Linked DNA regions of Saccharomyces cerevisiae S288C. Changing the gene in region 1 together with any one later gene gives a genetic interaction. Each region holds a gene or a part of one and is shown in the gene's direction. Other genes may lie near its edges.

Region 1 (4,300 bases):
TTAAAACCATGTCTGTGTCCTTTAAAGCGTTGTTCAATCCGTCTGGCTCTTCTGGAGTAAACCCCTTGACCACGGAGTTTGTTGGAATATGAGACAAATCGGTGGCAACACCTTTTGCGCCCTTTAGGTCGTACAGTCTTAAGTCCGTGACTTTATGGTTAAGCTTTAGAAGCAAAGACAATGGTTGTCCAATACCACCGCCTGCACCCAAAACAGTCACTTTATAAGGGTTGGCAACTGTAGAGGAAAACGCACGTTTAGCTACTCTTGACAACATTGTATATGGTATCCTTCCTTTTCCTTTTGTTTTTTTTCTTCCTTTCCGTAGATGTCCACGTATAATATATTGTATATCTATATGTGTATTCGTTATCTTAAGTGGAGGAATACAGTACAAACACCCAATGCGTGCTAACACTTCTTTTTAAAGCGCAAGCTATATATATTGTAATATCCGCCATTGTATTATGGCAACTTTTTTTTGTATTTTTCTGGGAATCCGCTTGGCGCGTGATTGAGCCAATGAACGCTGAGTGAATGCCGAGAAGGGGGGGAGAAGCTGGCAGGAAGGCCCAACCGCCAGGTCCCTTGTACCTCTCCGGCGCCGAGGGTCGCACAAACTGCTAGTGCCTACTCTAGTTGTTGAATAAGAAATTGATTAATTAAATTGAGGGATTTTGTATTAGTGAATTATAATTTATCTATGTTTCTTATGTAGTGTTATTAGCGTAATCATTATTCGATGTCGAGACTGCTGCCCAGGTACATGCGGATTTGGCGGGGAGTGGCCGGTAGCACCCTGCAGCGCACGGGGAAGGCGGCGTTCTGCGTTTCGCGAGCCCGGCGGTCGTATGCCTGTAGACGGTGGCAGCCGCCGAAGGCATAATATAGCGTCTGTCCCTTGACTCGCACGCCCAGCACGTCCACGGGCGGCAGTTCCCCGGCTGAGGCAGCCGCCTCAGCCTGTTCTAGAGAGCATGTCTTGCTAGCGGTGGGAATGCCCTTCATTGTGGCCACCATTGCGTCGATCTTTTGAGGATCCAACACAGGCGCTAGGGGGCGTCTGATCTCTGAGAGAGGAATTTCTGTTGGTTTTACACTGTTGCTTTGTAGTGACATATTGTTCTTTTTTTACTTGGTTTTGTAGTTTTTTTTTTCAGTAAGAAAAGTATATATAGCTCATTGATGGTAGATATTGTGGTTTATATACAACACCTCTTGACATGTATTGCATCGCATCCTTACCCAACAGGGCTACTGTAATGACTAAAAATAATGGCGACTTCTGGGCCGGCCTTCTAAAAAAAAGGGACCCGCAACGGGTAACGGCATATTTTTTTCGAAATCAAAGTTCCAGCTTTTCGATGTTTGTAAGCCTTCTAAGACAGAAAGATGTAGTATAAATGATGTAGCTTACTAATCAGGGAAAAAGCAATCGCTAGTATTGCAGAGGCCAAAGGCTTAAGCATCACATTTCGGTAGTAGTAAATAGTTTGTTAGTTCACGTGCTTTTCATTCGTCTCTATTTTACATATTATGATGTCTTCAGACCAACAGGGGAAATGCCCCGTAGATGAGGAAACCAAAAAGTTATGGCTACGAGAACATGGCAACGAAGCGCATCCTGGTGCTACTGCCCCAGGCAATCAACTAGAGTGCTCTGCAAACCCACAAGATAACGATAAAACGCCTGAATATCACACCACGGTGGATCTCTCTCAGTCCAGAGAGGTTTCCACCATACCAAGGACGAATTCTGACAGAAACTGGATATACCCGTCGGAGAAACAATTTTACGAGGCAATGATGAAAAAAAATTGGGATCCGAACTCAGATGACATGAAGGTGGTTGTGCCTTTACATAACTCCATCAATGAGCGGGTTTGGAACTACATTAAAAGCTGGGAAGACAAGCAGGGTGGTGAAGCGTGTGGCGGTATCAAATTAACAAATTTTAAAGGTGATTCCAAAAAACTGACACCAAGGGCCTGGTTCAGGTCCCGTATCTTGCACCTGGCCAAACCTTTTGATAGACATGATTGGCAGATAGATAGATGCGGTAAAACCGTCGACTACGTAATCGATTTCTATTCCACCGATCTGAACGATGCAAACTCGCAGCAACAACCACTTATTTATCTCGATGTTAGACCAAAATTAAACAGTTTTGAGGGCTTTAGATTACGGTTCTGGAAATCTTTAGGCTTTTGAATTACTACAACTATTCCTGTAAATAAAAACATACCCTCCCTAGTTTCCACATACATATTTATTTAATCTTATTTAGGCACTCAATTTAGAAACTAGGGAATGAAAAAGCAGTAATCTTCTTTTAAGGAATAAACAAAAAAAAAAAAAATAAAACATAAAACATAACACAAAATACTCTTTTCTAATGCATTTAAACTTCGGTTTTCACGTCTTCCTCATCCTCTTCGTCTTCCTCGTCATTGCTCTCATCGGATGCTGTTTCATTTAGAGCTTCTTCCTCCTCCTCGTCCTCCTCATCCTCTTCGTCATCCTCATCATCGTCGTCCTCATTGTCAGCACCCTCTTGTTCTTCTTGTTCTTGCTCTTTATCACCAGTTTCCTCGTCCCTAGCTTTCCGTATTTCATTGATTCTCCTCCTAACGATCTCTACAATATCTGTCCATTCTCTCATACCACCCATACCAATATCTCCGCATATTAATACCTTTTCCACCGGTTTCAAAACTTGGATGAACGGATAGTCTTGCACTAAACTCGTCAGGTGTTTCTTTGTCATAGGATTGATATACATGAATGTATTCATTGCAGGCGCAATCAACACTGGGGTCAGTGGTGACCAATCTCTCATCACAGAAGTTAGCAAATTGTTACATATACCATTGGCCAGTTTAGCAAGTGTGTTAGCTGACAAAGGCGCAATCAGGAAAATATCAGCCCATTTTCTTAATTCATGGTGCAATATCAAGTTCAGACTCAAGCTAGTATCATTCTTATTCACAGCGTCGAATACCCAAGCGTCTTCCTCCCTCCAAATTTTAACGTGTGTTGACATTTTGAGCCCTTTCAAAAAATGCTCAGCGGGTTTTGTGACAATCAACTGAATAGAGATTTTCTCAGGCCCATATATCTTGAAAAGTTTATCAATAATTAGAGGTACTTTTATTGTGGCAACTGAGCCCGTCGCACCAATGAGAATGTGGAATTTCTTGTCGTCTTCCTTCTGAAAGAACTCTGTGAAGGGTACACGAGGCCCTGTGGGTGCAGTGATAACTTCCTTGTTTTTATGTGTGGAGTTATTAGCCGATAATGGCGCCGCCTTTGCAGTGATAGGTTTAGAAGCGTTTGACTTGGGATTGAAGTAGATAAAATCACCTGGCATATGAACGATAGAATTTTTTTCCATCGAAGGTGAATCTACTTCATCTTCGCTATTGCTCGTACCACTCGATACCGAATGTTTCCTGATATCAGTACCATCATTAGTAGTGTTCTCCTTAAATATTGCATTCGCTATCCTCTCCTTTTCGTCTATCAGTTGCTGTCTTTCAGTTTGCTTTTTTTGCACTTGCTCCTGAATTTGCTTCACCTCTTCTTGCTGTTTTGCTCGTTGATTTTGCTCCTGCAGTTGTGCCTTTTGCTGCTCTTCTTGTTGTTGATTTTGCTGCAGTTGTTCCTGCTGCTGCTGCTGCTTTCCAGGTTTATTGGATATCGAATATCTATGATACGGCAACCTTTCCACCTCGGGCACCGTAAATGAAACAGCAGAAGGTAATGAAGGTGAAAACCTTTTTTGCTGGCCATTTGTATTAGCTGGCATACTGGTGTTGATCTGTATTTCATGGCCATCTTTGTTCCTTTCACTATTTTGCTTCAGATTGGCAAAAGAGAAATCCCTCAAATTTGTGCTATAATCGTTTTTGTAAATATTCCTCCTATTAGAGTTGGATTTTGATTGATCTTCATGACTATCAGATCTTTCGAAATTTGATTCATCGTGAATACTTTTTCTTCTCTCCTTGTTGGTCAAAATTGAAACCGGCACTTGTGTTGTAGGCAAGGATGAAATTAAGTTAACTCCCTGCTTACCGTTCATATTCTGATCTGAGTTCACTTTTTCATCCGTCATCACACCTAATAACTCTTTGCTGGTCCTTTAGACTTTTATTTAAATATGCTAACTAAGTGTTACTTTACTGTTCTTTCTCTTTTTCTGCTTTTTGTTCTCTCATCTACGAAAGTTCGGTGCGAAATTTTACGTGATTCATTTTCTTACAGAAAAGTTCACATGTTTAACAGTATAAGCGTATGG
Region 2 (3,631 bases), on another chromosome or scaffold:
TTCTCTTTAGTTAAATGTTCTTATATCAAAACTTTGTAAAATTGCTTTGTAAACAGATTATTAAGTACCGCTCTATTTACCCCATAACGAAAAGAAGTTCCGCGCTTAGGACACCTTTCCCTAGAGGTTCTTGTTTGATTTGTTTTAGTCATCTGCCTGTCGTTTATTTTAGTTTCGCAGTATTAACAGCGAGCAGTACGAAAAAAGGGTCTTGAAAACGTTGGACAAAATGCCCATTCTACAAGGCGCTTTAAAGAACAGCTCAAAGTAGATTCACATCACTGCAATTCTTGTTTATTGCAATATCTTTTCATGGATTTAAGTTTCACGACTAAAAGTGTCAAAATTAATGGTCAAAACCATCGAATATTACTGCAAAACGAAAACGGACCTTGTGCCTTGTTAGCACTTGCAAATATTCTAATACTTTCACCAGATCATACACGTTTTTCCAATGAGTTAATAAGGTTGGTAAATAAGGGAAGTCAAATATCTTTAAAAGAACTTATTGAAGTCTTAGCAGATATCGCTTTACAAGTTACAGATAAACCTAGTACTGATATAAGTGAGTTACTAAGTTTGTTACCTAGATTACATGAAGGTTTAAATATTAACCCTGAGTTTAATGGGTCTTTTGAAAATACTAAAGAGATGTCAATATTTCGATTGTTTAACGTTGATGTTGTCCATGGCTGGGTTATCAACAGTTTCATAAATGAAAACATTGATGAGAAACTATCTCATTATTCTTATGAATCTGCGCAGAGAATCTTAACACAAGCAGCTGATATAAATTGTGGAATTTCCCAAGATGAAAACTCGGACGAAGTTTTACGTGATGCCATGCATTTGGGTCTGTTTTTGAACGAATCACCGACTCAGTTGACCGCCTTTGGACTCCTACGATTGAGAGAAAAGCTGCTACACAACAAATTCTCCATTTTATTCAGAAATGACCATTTTTCTACATTGTTCAAATACGAAGATCGATTATACACATTGGTTACGGACTTTGGTTATAAAAATTGTAAAGATATTGTATGGCAATCCCTAGATTCGGTGGACGGCTCCTGCGATGCTTTTTTTGCCGGTAACTTTAGTGCAGCAGAGGTAAATGGACAGCAATTGTCAACTGACATTGAACGTGATTTTGGAACTGGAAATTTGCTACTTGAAGAAATTCAGCAAATTGAAAACGATAAAGAACTAGCCAAACAGTTACAGGAACAAGAACAAGAACGTGTTACGAAATTTGAAGCAAAAAGGAAAATCCATTCTCACAAAAAAAACTCAGAAATACACGCACCAGTCAAAAAAGACAAGTTTAAGCGAAGAAGCAGCCTTCTCAATGCAAAAGCTTCTGAAAAAGAGAAAAGTGAGTGCGTTGTTATGTAAGAGCTGTTCACTTGTTTTTATCGTATATCCTCGCGTAAAACATGATTAATCAATCTGTTCGCTTTAAGGAAGATCTCATAAGGACACCGACTCTCTAATTATTCTGGAGATATGTGGACCCCTACAGGCGTGATTTTCTGTCTAAACATTGCCACATAAAACAGGCTTGACATTATATTGGCCATTTGATTTATACTTGTTTCAGATCCTTTGTCGGGCCGGATTCTAAGAGCGCGCGCGAGGCGTCGAAATAAATCAAATAAGAACTAAAATACATAATTCTTGTCACAATGGATTGAATTTCAGTGCATAAGATTACATTTGTCGGAGCTATAATTCCATTACGGCAAAACAGAACTGAAACAAGTATATTGGCTATCTCTAGTATAAATTGTTGTAAAACTGACATCATATGGAACCAAAGTAGTAGACTCGCATTTGCAAACATATTTAAAATACTTGGAATAGATTTCACCAGCCTCAAGATAAATTTATAAACACATTAAATAACTAATAAATATATAAATACTTCTCCAAAAAATGACAGCAATGAAAGAAGACAACGCTGCATTGATTACACTGAAGAAAAACAACGACCAAGAAAAACTTAGAGTGCATAAACTGACAGATGCAAGTTCAAACTCTGCTGATGGGTTCGTTATAAATAAAGCCAAAAACGGTGGACCGCTTAATAAAAAGTCATTAGTTAATAATGAACAACACATTAAGAAGGCTGTGTCGCCTGGTAGAGTCAGGAAGCACAAAACGACAACATCTTCCACAAAATCACGAACGAAAAGTAAGAAAAAAGACGCTTCTGAAAGTAAAGTACAGAGAGAGAATAAGGGTTCATTTTACCAAGGTGCCATTTTCGGTTCGTTCCTTGGTGCTGCTGTAACTACTGTTTTAAGTAACCTAGCAGTTAAAGCTCTTCAAAATTAGTTTCATATACTCATGATTTCTAAACAGTAATTAGTTTTATCTGACTTATTTTTTTTTACGCACCTTTGCATGTACTCTTCCATGTATATCAATATTTGCTATTCTATTACTTATTTCTAGTAAAGTTGGCTCTACTCAGATTAGGTTTCCTGTTTTTGTAATTTGGTTTGTAATGATTTTTATTATTATCTTCAGAGCTCCCAAAAAGTACATCTTTTTCTTGTTGAGATAGCTCATATTCAAGTAATCCTACATCTCCCAATTCTCTTATAAAGTCCAAAAGTTGGGAGTTTTCGTTTGCGAATTCTCGCTGTATCAATTTCAAGTTCAAGTCAATCTTCGGATTTCCTCTCTGCACTTGATTTTGAATACTCTGTATAAATTGCTTTTCTTTCCTTGACTCTTTGAAAATGCTAGGTTGGCTCTTCAGTTCATCTTCCTTTATGCCCATTTCTTGCATATGTTTCTGTTTGTTATTGGATATTTTCAGTAGCCACATTTTTTTTCTTTCTTCTCTCCACTTTTTAACATCTTCATCAGTAATCAATGCTATGGAGGTTCCAGGAACCAAAACCACCTTACCCAACCCCTCTGATTCTAACTGCTCATCACGATCATCATCTTCTAGCCCTAAGTTATTATGATCATCTTCGGCATTAGAATTTGCCAGCTCGGGATCCTTTCTTGGGATTTCTGTAGGCTCCGCAGATGCTTGATCCTTGCTTGATGGTACTGGACTTATTTCATTCATAAACGTATCTTTCCCTCTGTTTTTCTCAATCAATTGTATTTCCTTTACGGTCGGTATTGCAACATCTTCATAACTAATTGATGTTTGGTAATCTTTATCATTCTTTAAGGCTTGAGTGTTTTCACAATATGATGATGGCCACTTCTGTAAATTAAGCGCTGGTGCATAAGATATATTCTGATGAACTGGCGGTATGTAATTTTCTGTATAATTGGGAGGACTCGTATAATTGTACTGAGTGGACGGTTGTATTGGATGGAAATATTGATTATGAGGGGCTACATGATGAAGTTGAGGAGTATAACCGGTATTCCATGAACCTTCATAATACGGAGAGTTCGGATACATATGAGGTGAGTAAGCTGCATTAAAAGCAGAGTCTGTTTTTTGCCTTTTAATTTTCGATTCATCATAGCCATCTGATAGCGTTCCGGAGTATGTAGGTTTGGGAAGCCTAGAATGTCCATCACCCTTCGAATTTTCAAAGTTATTATAATTCATAGTCCATGTCGCAATAAGCTAATCAAAATGGAAAAAGAGATT
Region 3 (4,707 bases), on another chromosome or scaffold:
AACATAGAATCCAAAAATAATACGTTTCAATTGGTTTTGATCAATTTTTCCATCATTGTGAATACCACAATTCGATGCTATCGTATCGACAAAGCACTTTACCCAGAGAAATTCGAAGCCTCCAACCCGCACTTACCGCCACATATGGCGTTATCAATGAGCCTCACGGCAGGGCTTTTTTCCAAAACATTGGTGTTTTTTTGTTCTCTGATCTACTTTAAGTTGACGCTTTTCGAAAATGGACTATGTCTATCCAACGATATGGAAGTTGGATGGTCGGATTTGACGAAATTGACTGTTCCTTTAGACAAGGATCTATCTTTAGGTACAGCAATGAGCTTGTACTCGTCAATCTTCGATCGCTTGTTCACGGTCGGAAATAAAGAATTAATACGCACAATGCATAGATCATCACAATTTGTGATAGAGCTAGCTATTGAAAGGACCTATAGGACTATTCTTGGCAACGTTATTGAATTCAGAAAGTTGACCGAGGAAACATGGCTAGCACAAATCAAACAAGAACTAGATCCGCAGAGCGATAATCCATCATCAGAAGCTAAAATTGTGAGTGATAGGCAGCGGGATCTCAGCCTTGCAGTTCCAACGCCCACGCCCTCAATAATTCCAATGTTACCCTCGCCTGGTGAAACTAAGAACCATGCAAAGAGTCAATCAGAGATCATTCAGATGCTGACAGATGAATTTTGGGCAAATTATAACTCAGGCTGGGAAGAGTTGATTAATCAATCTGAATTTTCCACTCTTTTCGATGATTACAAAGACAATTAATGCTAAGTCGAGGCAATCTCGCGGCGCGACTACTTTGAAGCCTTTTTTTAGTTCTTTTTTATGATCAAAATGTTTATATAATTACCCAGATTATCAACCCACTTCGATGATGGGCCGCACCTGACAGAAAAAAATGAATCAACTGGCTACTAAAGATGGTACAAAAGTTCACTTTATTCAGATATAGAATTGCTGAATCGCTGCTTACCGCCATACGCTTGACTACTTTTACACCCGTACACCACACATACAACCGTACGACTACTTTTCATGCAACAGCGTGCGTTTCGACATGTCTTACACACGAGTAGATCATCCCACTGGAAAAATGGCTTGTCACCTGAGGCAGATTTTGGCAAGCCCACTGTTTTTCGCAAATTATGTACTACATGCAGCCATTCACTACCCTTCGAGCGACATACGCGGCGACATCCTGTAGAGCAATGTTGTCCTTACCAAGACGTCTTGATGAAGGATAAGCATACGCGAAGAGATTTCCTCTCGGAGAGCCTGCAGGGAGCGGCGCACCTCGCCAGCGGAGTTATCACACGTAATGGTACTGAGTGAGAGACCCCGCCCGACACCGCACGGCCATTTGCAGAAAGAAAAACAAAGTCCACTACGGCTAATTACTGCAGAATGCTTTTTTTTCTTTTTTTTTGTGGTTGGTATGTTCCCTTCTAACAGGATTCTTCCTTCGGTAGATCCTTGAGGGGTTTAAGGGGTTTTCTGTTTGCGTAATGGCGTAATTGCCAGCTATATATAACATTATCATCACATATATATCCTTATACGTAGCTTGCCCTTATATATATATTGATATGCGGATATTCGTTGAATGTAGTTCAGTCGTAATCGCTACTTATTGGTAATCATAGCAATTGAATGCTTCTATATTCCTTTCTTACTTTTTTTAATTGCGCATTATAAAAAACTTGAAGGTGCATATTTCCGATTAGGGCCATCAATAGTGACCATAATTATCGGTACATTAATACGTCATGCCATTGAATGAAAAATACGAGAGGCCTCCGCAACCTCCTCCAGCATATGATCCCAACCATAGGCCGCCCAGTTCTTCCGAGAACTCTGCCGCGGCGAATGTCAACGATGGCCAGACGCCGTACCATTTTAGACAGGATCAATATTACAATCTAAATTCCAAAACGAGTGGGGCTCCTATAGGGAGCTTCGACGAGGCCTTTCCTACTGAAAATGACAACAAGCCCAGGTGGAACGATTGGCCATTTACCATTTTTTTCCTATGCACGGTAGGCGGATTCATCGCCATTGCTGCCATAACCTTAAGAGCGTGGTCCCAAACCTATAGCAGTACGGGTTCCGGAATATACGATGGTGTGAATACTGGTACGCTGAACACCAATGCTGCCATCCTGCTAGTTTTCGTGTGCATTATTGCCCTAGTATTCTCCGTTTTGGGCCTCACACTTTGTCGAATTTTTCCGAAGCAGTTTATATATTGCGGTATGGTCATCAACCTAGTGGCTTCTCTTGGGACTGCCATCATGTACATGTCTTTGAGGTACTGGTCTGCAGGTATTGTGTTTTTAGTCTTCACGTTCATGACCGCGTGGTGCTACTGGGGTATGAGGTCTAGAATTCCCCTTTCTGTGGCGGTATTGAAAGTCGTCGTCGATGCCATGAAGAAATGCCCACAGATCTTCTTTGTTTCATTTGTTGGAGCGCTAGTTGCTAGTGCGTTTGGGTTTCTCTTCTCAGCAGTCATTGTGGCTACGTACATAAAGTACGATCCTAATAGCTCGAATGGCGGCTGTGACGTTTCTGGTGGCAGCTGTTCGCATTCCAAATTGATTGGTGTTTTGGTTGTGGTTTTTTTCTGCGGCTATTATATCTCTGAAGTAATAAGAAACGTCATACATTGTGTTATTTCTGGCGTCTTTGGCAGCTGGTATTATATGTCAAAGTCTGACCAAGGAATGCCAAGGTGGCCCGCATTTGGAGCATTGAAGAGAGCCATGACTTACTCGTTCGGTTCCATTTGCTTTGGGTCCTTGCTAGTCGCTTTGATCGACCTGTTGAGACAAATATTGCAAATGATCAGACACGATGTTACCTCCAGCGGTGGCGGTCAAATTGCCATCCAGATTTTGTTTATGGTGTTTGACTGGATTATCGGCTTTCTGAAGTGGCTCGCCGAGTATTTCAATCATTATGCATACTCGTTCATCGCTCTTTATGGTAAACCGTATTTAAGAGCGGCCAAAGAAACCTGGTATATGTTAAGAGAAAAGGGAATGGACGCCCTAATCAATGATAATTTAATTAACATTGCACTGGGTCTATTTTCAATGTTTGCTAGTTATATGACCGCTTTGTTCACGTTCTTGTATCTAAGGTTTACCTCGCCTCAATACAATTCGAACGGCGCTTACAACGGCGCCCTAATGGCATTCTCATTTGTTATTGCTTTACAGATTTGCAACATTGCAACAGAAGCCATTAGATCCGGTACTGCAACTTTCTTTGTTGCTCTTGGTAATGACCCGGAGGTCTTCCATCATTCTTACCCTCATAGGTTTGATGAGATTTTTAGGGCATATCCTGATGTACTCAGAAAATTGAGTCACCAGAATGTGTGAAGAGATGTTTATCATATGTCACTATTTCTCCTTGTTCTTCTTAACAATTCTATATTTAATTACAATATTTTAATACTTAATTTTTTCTACTTCAATTACCTTTAAGTTCTATCTTTATTAAATTGTTTATTTTGTTTTTATACATTCTGTGCAGATTAACAATATGCTATTTATTAAATGACTATTCAAACCTCGAATTGATATTCTTTCTTGAATACCATCCAACAAACGCCCTAATTCCTTCCCTCACCTTTCTGTAATCCTTTGAATTCAACCCCTCAACCACGGCCTTCGCCAAATTATCTCTTTCATTAAGGGTTACTTGGCCAAGTTGTTCCACCACTTTGTAAATCCAATCGATGCAAATAGTGGCATCGTTGTTGTTTGCCTCTGTCAATATCCTTAAACATTTTACAATACAACTGATGGCATCTGAATGAGCGGTGTTTTCAAAAGTAGTAACCAGCCCGATGAATAACACTAATATCAATTGGTTACCGTGGGCTATCACGACTTCGTTAATAACTTGCTTCCTCCATTCATCTGGAACAATCTCGATGGACACTGTTGAGATCGGTGGAGTCTTGAACCCCCAGGATATGATATCATCTAAGCAACGCAAGATACATATGTAAGCATCGTAGTTATCAAGCTTATTAACACACTCGAGGGCAACATTCAGTACGGGGCCTAGAAGCTCTGTTGAATTCAAAAATGCGCCAGGATAAAACATTATCAAGTCTGAAATTAATGAGAAAAAATCGATTATTGCCTCATGATAATCGTTTAATTGAAGTTTATCAAACTTGTTGAAATTCAGTATGAACGTCTCGCATTGGGAGAGGGCAAATTTCCAGACAGCATCTTTCAGACTCGGGGATATGGGGAATGATTCATCGTCACCAAATATAACAATAAGGGAACCAGAACACCACAGATAGGAACCGAATCCAGTCGTTAAATAACCTTGGATTAGAAATTCGGCAACAGAAGGTAATATTGGCTCGCAAAATACATGAAATCTCTCAAAAATTCTGCGTAGCAATTTAGCTACTCTTTCTACGATAATACTATCAGTCATTGCACCTGCATCAACTAGCAGAGTTCTTAATGCCTTCCAAATAAATTCTATCCTGGGGAGTAAAGGTTCCGATCCTTGCTGAGGATAATTGTATCTCGGTTTCAATTCTTCAAAAAGCGCATATAGCAAATCAATCTTATCAGCAATCTGTGGAGCCAAGAGCGTTGGATTTGCTTTCCATTGAGGAATCAAAGCCTCGATTTGTCGCAAATT

The links.
Region 2: mutations in CYT2 (region 1) and PRM3 together harm fitness more than expected from each alone (negative genetic interaction), as found in Saccharomyces cerevisiae (2 studies listed by BioGRID).
Region 3: mutations in CYT2 (region 1) and PNS1 together harm fitness more than expected from each alone (negative genetic interaction), as found in Saccharomyces cerevisiae (2 studies listed by BioGRID).

What each region holds. Positions count from the first base shown.
Region 1 is NC_001143.9:275,100-279,399, reverse strand, and holds CYT2 (cytochrome c1 heme lyase CYT2), read left to right. Parts: upstream 1-1,536; coding exon 1,537-2,211; downstream 2,212-4,300. Other genes in the region: malate dehydrogenase MDH1, read right to left, coding at 1-277; SRX1 (sulfiredoxin), read right to left, coding at 736-1,119; phosphopantothenoylcysteine decarboxylase complex subunit CAB3, read right to left, coding at 2,402-4,117.
Region 2 is NC_001148.4:181,361-184,991, reverse strand, and holds PRM3 (pheromone-regulated protein PRM3), read left to right. Parts: upstream 1-1,935; coding exon 1,936-2,337; downstream 2,338-3,631. Other genes in the region: MIY2 (ubiquitinyl hydrolase 1), read left to right, coding at 313-1,395; RSA1 (Rsa1p), read right to left, coding at 2,444-3,589. UniProt on the Saccharomyces cerevisiae protein: Required for the fusion of nuclear envelopes during mating, ensuring proper karyogamy. Plays a role in the initiation of outer nuclear envelope fusion.
Region 3 is NC_001147.6:635,645-640,351, reverse strand, and holds PNS1 (Pns1p), read left to right. Parts: upstream 1-1,793; coding exon 1,794-3,413; downstream 3,414-4,707. Other genes in the region: YRR1 (Yrr1p), read left to right, coding at 1-792; YOR161C-C (uncharacterized protein), read left to right, coding at 1,085-1,231; mRNA transport regulator MTR10, read right to left, coding at 3,595-4,707. UniProt on the Saccharomyces cerevisiae protein: Probably involved in transport through the plasma membrane.